Linked DNA regions of Arabidopsis thaliana. The protein of the gene in region 2 interacts with the protein of the main gene of each other region in a pairwise test. Each region holds a gene or a part of one and is shown on either strand. Other genes may lie near its edges.

Region 1 (3,630 bases), on a different chromosome or scaffold from region 2:
GTGGATAAGAAAAAGAGTGAGAGATGAGATTAGCTACGGAGCAACCCACCACTAAACTTAGTGGACCTGTGGGACCCACACTGCTTATGAATTTTGTTGTGAAAAAAATACGCGCTACGGTAACGCGTGAGGATCTATTTTTCCTTCTTTTTTTGTTTATTTTGTTTATTTTGTTAAATACATCCGGTTCGATCAAACCGGCGATTTCAATTTTGACTTGAGAATTCAGATTAGAGCATAGCCGATCATTGGTGTTGAGTTCTTCTCTCTTTTTTTTCTAGCAGTTTGCCCTTTCAATGCTCTAGCAGTTTGCTTTTACATGTCTCAAGATTAGTAGTAGATCTACAGATGCGAGGAGAAAATCATCAACGGATTTGTTTTTTTTCCACACAAAGGAACAACAAAATCTTGAAAATGTTGAGAGAGATTGAAAACAAATAAACATGATACATAATCAGAAAACAAACACAATTCCCAAACAGTCTCCTCTGCTAATATGCTATTGTTTTTCTCAGGTATCTTCCACTTGCGAGTGTAACACAAAGCTCGGAAATGTAGTTGTGATATCCCTGCACACAATATCAGATATCATGGTGTTAATAATACGTGATGCAGAAAAATTTGAAGTTGCATTGGCTAAACCTCGGGTTAGTCTTTGGTTTAGGAGCTCACTTGAGATACTGGAGAGTCATGTTCTTCAGAAGAAGAGGATGTCTAAAAACTAGGTCCATCCACTCTTCCTCATCGATCATCCCTTCATGTTTTGTGTCAGCTTGCACAAATGTCTGCCTCATAAACTCAAAAATCACTCTTCACTTCATATTCATCAGCTGCTTAAACTTAGTTGGCTATACTATAGACTAGAGTCGAACCAAAAAATAGAAGGAAGGAAAACACACCTTGTCGATTATACTCTCTACGATTTCGTCTGACTGGCTCATGCCGGACGCAGCAAGAGTAGCCACCACCAGTTGTTTCACCCCCTGCCTTTCGATAAAACCTTGCTGCTTAAGATCATATAGCTGAAACGAAACTGCCAAATAATGTTCCAGGTAACCGTTAATAAGCTTTCATGGAATATATATAGGTAGCATGTGAACAGTTTGTTTGTAGATGGTTAATATATCGGGTCTAGTTTTTGAGATCAGAGACGTACGGTCAATTTTATCATCTATAGGAGCAGATGGATGAAAGACAGAGAGAGCTCGGGCAAACTCCTCAAACCCAAGTAATCCATCATGATTTGTGTCGAACAAATCGAAGACCTGTGTGATAGGGTAATGTCATTGTTTGCAAATGGATTACAAAGACTTTTTTTGTTGAGAACAAAAATAAAATACCCTCTCTGAAAACAAGCTCTCATTTTTGTCAGTCTGGAATATGGCTACATGAAACTGTTCCTGATACAACAGAAATACAACAGGACACGTTATGGAAAATCTGTAAGACTTGTTGAAAAGAAGGAGTGCGTGGCAAGAAAGACATATATATTTATATATAATTCCAAATACCTTGTTCATTTCACCATAATAACACGTTACGCCTTCTACAACGTTACCCTGAACGAAGAAACACAGATTTATATCATATGCGTACTTAGCAAGAAAGTTACATATAATTTATACGAACCTCGTTTCTTTGGCAATCAACACCGCTGAGTTTCTTAAACACCTCATAGAGTGCCTTTCGCTTTTTCTGATCCGTAAAGCATCCCGTGGAGTTGGAAGAAGCTGAATTTCTTGTTGAATCCATGGAGAGTCGTGTAGATAGAAACTTTTTAGCCAAGAAAGAGAGAACAAATCGATGATCAAAAAAAGAGATTGTCAACGCGCTCTGATACCTATTCAGATCTTTGAGACAGGGAAAACATATATATTAGGAAAGACCGAAAGAGTAAGTAATTTATTCCTCAAAGTAAACGTGTTTATGCAGAACACAATCGTCACTAACTTTGCTAATTACTTTGTCAACTCTAACTGACAAAGTCAACCACAAGACTAACAAATCCGATTGTTGTAATGTTGCATCCGGTTCGATCAAATCGGTGATTTCAATTTTGACTTCAGAATTCAGACTAGAGCATACCCGATCATTTGGTGTTGGGTTCTCTCTTTTTTGCTCTCTATTATCACTTCATCAGTTTGCTCTTTATTAATAGGATTCATGTCTCAAGGTTAGTAGTATATCTACAGATGCGAGGAGAAAATCAGCAATCAAAATCAGGAGTAGCAAAAATACAGATTTGTTTTCTTTACTTTTAATTCACACAAGTAACAACAAAATCTTGAAAATGTTCAGAGAGATTGAAACAAATAGACATGATACATAATCAGAAAACAAACACAATTCCCAAATTGTCTCCTCTGCTAATATGCTATTGTTTTTCTCAGGTATCTTCCACCTGCGAGTGGAACACAAAGCTCGGAAATGTAGTTGTTATATCCCTGCACACAATATCAGAGATCGGTGTTAATAATAACACAGAAAAAATTGGAAGTTGCATTGCCTAAACCTCGGATAAGTCTTGGTTTAGGAACTCACTTAAGATACTGGAGAGTCATATTCTTTAGAAGGGAAGGATGCCTGAGAACAAGGGTTCTCCACTCTTCCTTATCGATCCTCCCGTCATGTTTTGTATCAGCTTCCTCAAATGTCTGTGAAAGAAGAAACTTAGAAACCACTCTTTACTTTATTCTCAACTGCTATCATGAGTTGGCTATACAACAGTGGAACAAGAATATAGTATCGAGCAGGGTAGGAAGGAACCACACCTTGTCGATTATACTCTCTATGATTTCGTCTGACAGGTTCATGCCGGACTCAGCAAGAGTAGCCACCACCATTTGCTTCACCTCTTGCCTCTCTATGAAACCTTGCTGCTTAAGATCATATAGCTGAAACGAAACTGCAAAACAATGTTCCCGGTAACTGTTAGTGATATTTCATGGGTTACATGTAGCATGTCAACATCAGATAAATTGTATAGATGGTTTCTCAGATCAACTTTGTAAGATCAAAGACGTACAGTCAATCTTGTCTTCTATGGGAGCATTTGGATGAAAGACAGAGAGAGCACGCGCAAACTCCTCAAACCCCAGTATTCCATTATGCTTTGTGTCAAACAAATCGAATACCTGTGATTGGTACTGTCAAGTTATCTTTCAAAAAGGATCTTGGCAAATGGATAACAAAGTCTTTTGATTAAAAAAGAAGAACATACCCGGTCTGCAAACAAGCTCTCTTTTTTATTTGTCTTGAACAAGGCTAACTGAAATTCTTCCTGAACGACAAGACAGGTCAAGGAAAATCAGAAAAGGATGTCCAAAAGACGTAGCAATATGCATGATTCGTGAGGAGTATAAGTGAGTGGCATAAAAGACATATAATGATGCCCTTCCTTCATACCTTGTTTATTAGCCCATCATCAATCACAGCACTGCTGATTTTCTTAAACAGCTCATAGAGAGCCTCTATTTCACTCACGCTAACTGCACCCAAACGAGTCAATGATCAAAACACAGAAAGAAAGATTTGCATTCCTCTTAACAGAGAGCATCAACTAGAGTAATGGCAAGCCTTTGAATCATACATATAACTGGAAAAAAAAAGTGCATGGAAGTTAAAATAAGA
Region 2 (6,001 bases):
GAAACCCTAGATTCGATCTCTTTCGGTTGATTCGATCTCGCGTAATCAGATTCTGGTGAAGTGGGAACAGAAACCATTACGATTCTTTCTTCCGGAGGAGGTGAATCCCAATCACCCAAAATCTCTACACTCTCTGAATCTGAACGTTTCTCCATTCTTAAAAACTTTGGAATGCGAAATTTGCGACTTTATGGGCTTTACGGGCTGTTTGATTTGAAAGATTAGACAACTCACACAACTTATTGGGCAATTAACGTTGGTCTGCTCAACACCAACTCCTCACTAGAAACCACTCCGTCATCAATGTGTGACTGTACATCAAAATAAAACTTTTTTTTTTTGGTTGCAAACGTAGATCTATGTAGCTAAGATAACCTCTCTTTAATAATTCTATCATTGTGTTTTCCAAATTGTTATATATGTTGTGTCATTGTAACGCGTTGCCATAAAGCGACAACATCGTTGCAACTTTCAACTATACTCAAATAGCCAGCTTGCAGAGTATTTTTTGCCTAATTGAATTGTTTGAACTTTGATTTATAGGTTTCAAACCGAGTTTGAGGATGATCACATATGTGGCTATTGACTAACCTATGGTGATCTACCTCTATAGACCACTTCTAGTTCTAGTTTGGCTCTTTTGTCAGCAATACTTGTATATTGCCAACTCCAGAATGTTTACTATTCATTATACATGTTCAACATTGATTAAAAACTTTGAATTGAACAACTTGTTATTTCTTATTGCTTTTGTTCTTCAGCGGCTGCATCAGTATTCCAGACTACATCCTTTAATCCAGATGAGAAGTTTTTGTAGAACTGCAAAAGAGATTCAAACATAAAACCAATTTAAACACTAAACTAGAGATGTTAACCGGATCAAAACCGAACCGGTTTTTGATGAAGATCAAACCGAATCACATACCTTGTGAAACTCGAGGGTATCACCACCGGTTTTCCTAAGCTCTACCACATGCAATGATGGCGCCACTTCAAACACCTATTAAACCGATTACCAAACCATAACAATTAGATAACGATATTCATCAAAATCCAAAAACCGAACTGAACCGGAGTATTTTTTTCTTTCTTACCTCTGTAGCTACGGAGAGCTGACCTTTACGACCACTTTTGTCTCCTTTCATTTTTATCTGCGAAGTTTACTTAAACAATGTTTAACGAAGCTACAAAGACATTAGTTGACACAAACAAAATCAAGAAGAAGAAGAAGAAGAAGAACAGACCTTGTAGTTGTCTTTACGGACATTAAAGCCTAATGGCTTTGCGGTTTCTTCCATTTTCGACATTATTTCACTCGCAGATCGTTGAGAAGTAAACCGCGTTTCTTTCTTCACAAGTTGCTGCAAACAACAACAAATCAGATTTAGTTAGATAAAACCTATGCATGATTTTAGAAAATCAAGACAAACTGTAAGTAGAAAAAAGTTCTTACCGCTTGCTTCTCGAACAAGTTTTCAAGACTGAACTCGCTTGAGCTAGAGATAAGTTCGAAAGCGTTCATGGATACAGGTTTCTCCTTCTTCTCAGTTACAAGACATTCCTAGAGTAGCAGCACAAAAAGAGTGATATTAGTTGGTAACAATACATTGGTTTACTTAAACCGAACTATGATATACACAACCAGATGGAGAATTTGGAAATGGCGGTGTTTACCTTGGAGTTACTAAAAGCAGCATCAACATCATCTATGGTTATGTCCTCGTCATCTTGGTCAAATGATGGCGGCTTGTACCCTTTCTTGAACCATTCATCTTCGAGCAACTCTGCAATACTTATTCTCTGCATTTCAGAAATAAGTACATACTTAAGCTCTTGCACAATCTATGGTTGGCAGCATGTCATGTTCACATTTTCACAACTATTACTTCATGTAAGAGGCACTTACGGTAATAGGGTTGGGTTCGAGAATACGCTTGATGACTCTCTTGGCACCTTGCGAGAACCATGGTGGGCAGCTAAACTCAGCCTTGCATATCTAAAGTATATATTAAACACCAAAGATGAGACTAGAAAAGTACTGCAGAAGATCAAGAAGCAGAGGGAGAGATAATTTACACGTACACGTTTGTATAATGTCATGAGATTCGGCTCATCAAAAGGCAAGTAACCAGCCATAAGCACAAAGAGAATGACACCACAAGACCAGACATCTGCTGCTGCACCGTCATAGCCTTTGTCCGACAAAACCTGCCAGCAAATCCAACACAATGCAGTAGACAACATTAAAGGCATATCTCTTATATACATCATAAATAAAGAAGATTCTGCAAATGAAGTCTATATATACGTATAGCATTTGTTAGATTTCCTTCCTTTTTAAAAACGTATTAGCAGTTCTTGAATTCCTTAAAATCTTATTTTCCAAAGAGGATCTACAGAACATTTCATATTCTTTGCCTTTTTAAGTGCTGAAAGTTAGTACATAATACCTCAGGGGCAACGTAGTTTGGCGTTCCACAAGCTGTATGAAGCAAACCATCTTCCTGCATTCAAAAGAACAATGCTTAGAACACTTCATTCAAATTGATATCTTGGTTATATATATCAGAAATTAATTGCCAAGTGAAAAATATAATGGCATTACCCGAACTTGTCGTGAGAAGGCGCTTAACCCAAAATCAGAGACTTTCAAAACCCCATTTGCGTCAAGGATCAGATTTTCAGGCTGCAACAAGGAACAGATGATAACAAAAGAAACTTGAATAAGAACTAAGAAGAATGAATATCGTAATCACAGGAAACAAGAAGAGTGCACAAAAACAAAAGAAAGACCTTGAGATCTCTGTGGTAGACACCTCGACTGTGGCAGTAATCCACAGCATTGATGAGCTGCTGAAAATATCTCCGAGCTTCATCCTCCTTAAGCCTCCCTTGTTGCGCCTATGTATATGATTTAAATCCAAGAATTAACATAAGAGTAAGAAGAGAGAAAGACAGAGAACATATGTCAATATTTGTGAAGAGAAAAGAGAGGAAGATTCTCTAAGTTAGGTTACTTACGATTTTATCAAAGAGTTCACCTCCATTGACAAGCTCAAGAACGATATAGATCTTCGTTTTGCTCGCCATAACCTACCACAGAGAGATGTTTTACACGCTAAGATTCAAAACTTAATTTAAAAAATATCTAAGGAATGATAACTAATTAGTTTCGTACCTCAATGATTTCAACCACATTTGGATGTTTAATCAGTTTCATTGTAGATATTTCTCTTTTAAGCTGCACAACAACAAAAAAATAAAACTTTATGATCATTATATCTTCGAGATCTTGCTCATAACTTCCAATCATACATATATAGCATACAAAACTAAATCTTCAACAGATTCAAATCGAACCAAATCAAAAACAAAGCTACTCGAACTTCAAAACCATATCCATATCATAGTTAATAGTTATCTTGATCAATGCGTACTAAGATCAGCATCGTGTAGATATATACAGAAACAAAAACATTCATACAAAATTCGATATTTTAAAATATTATTGTTAACACTTTAATCAAACATTAACCTTAATAACCGAACACCAACCTAGGAGGACATGTGGGTCCCTAATCACGAAATTAAACTGTTCTTTATAGTACTTAAAAACAAACAAATCCATAATCATTTTACGTGATCAAACCAAACACAATTAACGAACCTGTTCGACCATTTTGTGACGGAAGACCTTTTCTCGGTCGAGGATTTTGATAGCGGCTTGATCTCCGGTGACGGTGTTCTTGGCGTATTTCACCTTAGCGAAGCTTCCTTCTCCGAGAGTTCGTCCCATCTCGTAATTCCCTACTCGCGTCCTACTCGCCGGCGTCGCCTTCCTTCTGCTTCCACTCATTTTCTTTTTCCGATTAAGAAAATCAACGGCTCTAGATCGGCGGCGAATCTATCAATGTGATTCTTCTCCCTCAATATCTCTCCTTCTTCTAGTGGCTGCCTGGTTTTAAGGCTGACGAGAGAAAGTGGACGAGCGAGAGATTTAATAGGCGCGACTGGGAGTCACGCGCGTATTGTGGGTCCCGTATGCCACGTAATGTCAAAAATCATTATTTTGCTCTGTTCCGCGTCAGTCCCGTGTTATTTGTACTTGTGTACGTTCGTAACGTTCATTCTTCATTCATATAAAAAAATTCCATAATTTTGTTCTTGTGTGGTAACTATATACAGAAACTCCTGTTTAAGTATATGGATTTTATGAAAATTTTGGGGTTTTAAATTTATGTGGATATGGTTTTATTTGTAAGGGATGTGATTTGATGTCCTTAATCTTTATGTGTATATGAGTATATCTTTCAGTGATTCATTCCATTCTACTGATGTTCAAAGTTGACTGTTATCATATTATTTGATATAGTTGTATTCTTTTCATGTAGAAATATTCTCTAAATATAACTTTTTTTTTTGTCTTTAGTTAGAAGTTGGAAACTACCTAAGAACAATAAATACATATATCAAATGTTGGTAGTTAAATGATGATTGTTATATCTTGGTCAAATTTTGTTTAAATCTATGATAATATTCGCATATACTTACTTTTGTTTAAATTTGATGTAGCTGTTTATTTTTGTTTGTAACGGTTCTAAATTTGATTATTTAAAGTATATGATAATAAATAAATAGATAATTGAAATAGTTGATCTTTCCATGTGACGATGTGAGTAAAGGGAACGGTATGAATATGAACCCCACATATCCTTCCTGATAAACTCAGAGATTTCACAGAATGTGATAATGTTTTTATTTTTCTTCTTTCCTTTATTTGTTTCTCTTATTTTCTTTCATATGATAATGCCAAAATACGCAGAAAAATTAAAAAAGTGTGGCAGACAGTGTGAGTTGATGATTTATTGCATGACTAGTAATAATGATACAATAATTTTTTAGATATGTTAGTATATTACGAACAAAAGAAAATGCAAATAATGCACAATGAACCACTCGTTCCAATAATTGAGTCCGGTACAAAAACATCACGTCACCATCATATGAAAGCAATTCATTTGGTTATCAATTTGAACTTCTTCATTCCACATTTTTTTTATTTTCCTGGTTATGAGTTGGAACTTATTGGATTATATGGATTAAAATTTAAAACCTATATAAACCAAACTATTATTTGGTTTGATTTTGTATTTACTTTCGGTTTAGCTTGGTTTGTAGATAGTTCGAGTAGACCGAACATCCGAGTCCTACATATATAAGAAAGATTGGCCCATTAACCAAATTTAGGCTTGATTGTGAATTAACATTAGGGCCCAACTAAAATACTTTTTTTTTTTTTTGCCATCCAATAACATTATTATCGCATATGTTCCGCATCATCGTTTACACAAATGATCAAATTGACCAAGTTAAGTTTCTTTTCTCTTTTTCTACATAATATTTGTTATTTAAAGCATTTGTATAAAATTATATACTGATAAGTGATGGTATATTCAATAATTTGTGTTTGTCTTTTTGTGATACAATTAATTATCCTTTATGGTTCCATTTTTTTTTCGTTGACAACGTTGAACAAAGATGGTCAAGGGGCCTAACTGTTTCTCACACAGTTTCCTTTCAGGGTTTAGTATTTGCCGTTTTAGTAACGAAGTTAGAGATTCATACGTATAATTATAAATAGTAGAGTCGGGTCAGATTGTGTTTCTTATCTAATTGTTATATATATAAAATTTGATAAAGCATATAATGTCTTGAAAGATTCAATCGTGAAATATGTGTACAAATATGTAAAATCTAGTTGCACCGCACGGCACCTTTTTTTCCTTCCTCTCCCACGTTTATTCTCGCCTCGTAACAGAAATTATAACTTGGAGTACTATTATAAAATACCTCAATAATTTTAGTTCTAAAAACATGTATATCTAAATCTAAACCATTGTGTATTTTGGAGTTGTAGGAGTTTTTTTTGTAGTAATTTAGTAATACATAACATAAAATGTGTCTTATGTTTAGATTTGCCTTTCATACATTGACCAACCTA

Evidence for each region. Proteins that work in one complex are often made in the same cells at the same time.
Region 1: the proteins of CIPK9 (region 2) and CBL7 interact in a two-hybrid assay, tested with the Arabidopsis thaliana proteins (one study listed by BioGRID).

The regions. Positions count from the first base shown.
Region 1 is NC_003075.7:13,406,222-13,409,851, forward strand, and holds CBL7 (calcineurin B-like protein 7), read right to left. Parts: upstream 1,867-3,630; 5' UTR 1,753-1,866; coding exon 1,630-1,752; intron 1,560-1,629; coding exon 1,512-1,559; intron 1,401-1,511; coding exon 1,341-1,400; intron 1,266-1,340; coding exon 1,157-1,265; intron 1,034-1,156; coding exon 900-1,033; intron 786-899; coding exon 673-785; intron 570-672; coding exon 512-569; downstream 1-511. Other genes in the region: CBL3 (calcineurin B-like 3), read right to left, coding at 2,387-2,444, 2,542-2,654, 2,772-2,905, 3,026-3,146, 3,221-3,280, 3,406-3,488. UniProt on the Arabidopsis thaliana protein: Acts as a calcium sensor. CBL proteins interact with CIPK serine-threonine protein kinases. Binding of a CBL protein to the regulatory NAF domain of a CIPK protein lead to the activation of the kinase in a calcium-dependent manner.
Region 2 is NC_003070.9:63,657-69,657, forward strand, and holds CIPK9 (CBL-interacting protein kinase 9), read right to left. Parts: upstream 3,970-6,001; 5' UTR 3,857-3,969; coding exon 3,668-3,856; intron 3,242-3,667; coding exon 3,179-3,241; intron 3,094-3,178; coding exon 3,022-3,093; intron 2,902-3,021; coding exon 2,794-2,901; intron 2,687-2,793; coding exon 2,606-2,686; intron 2,505-2,605; coding exon 2,451-2,504; intron 2,209-2,450; coding exon 2,083-2,208; coding exon of another isoform or gene 2,077-2,082; intron 1,997-2,076; coding exon 1,907-1,996; intron 1,801-1,906; coding exon 1,675-1,800; intron 1,562-1,674; coding exon 1,454-1,561; intron 1,362-1,453; coding exon 1,245-1,361; intron 1,152-1,244; coding exon 1,095-1,151; intron 1,001-1,094; coding exon 914-1,000; intron 820-913; coding exon 742-819; 3' UTR 511-741; downstream 1-510. Other genes in the region: AT1G01130 (CBL-interacting Serine/Threonine-kinase), read right to left, coding at 1-155. UniProt on the Arabidopsis thaliana protein: CIPK serine-threonine protein kinases interact with CBL proteins. Binding of a CBL protein to the regulatory NAF domain of CIPK protein lead to the activation of the kinase in a calcium-dependent manner. Involved in K(+) homeostasis under low-K(+) stress.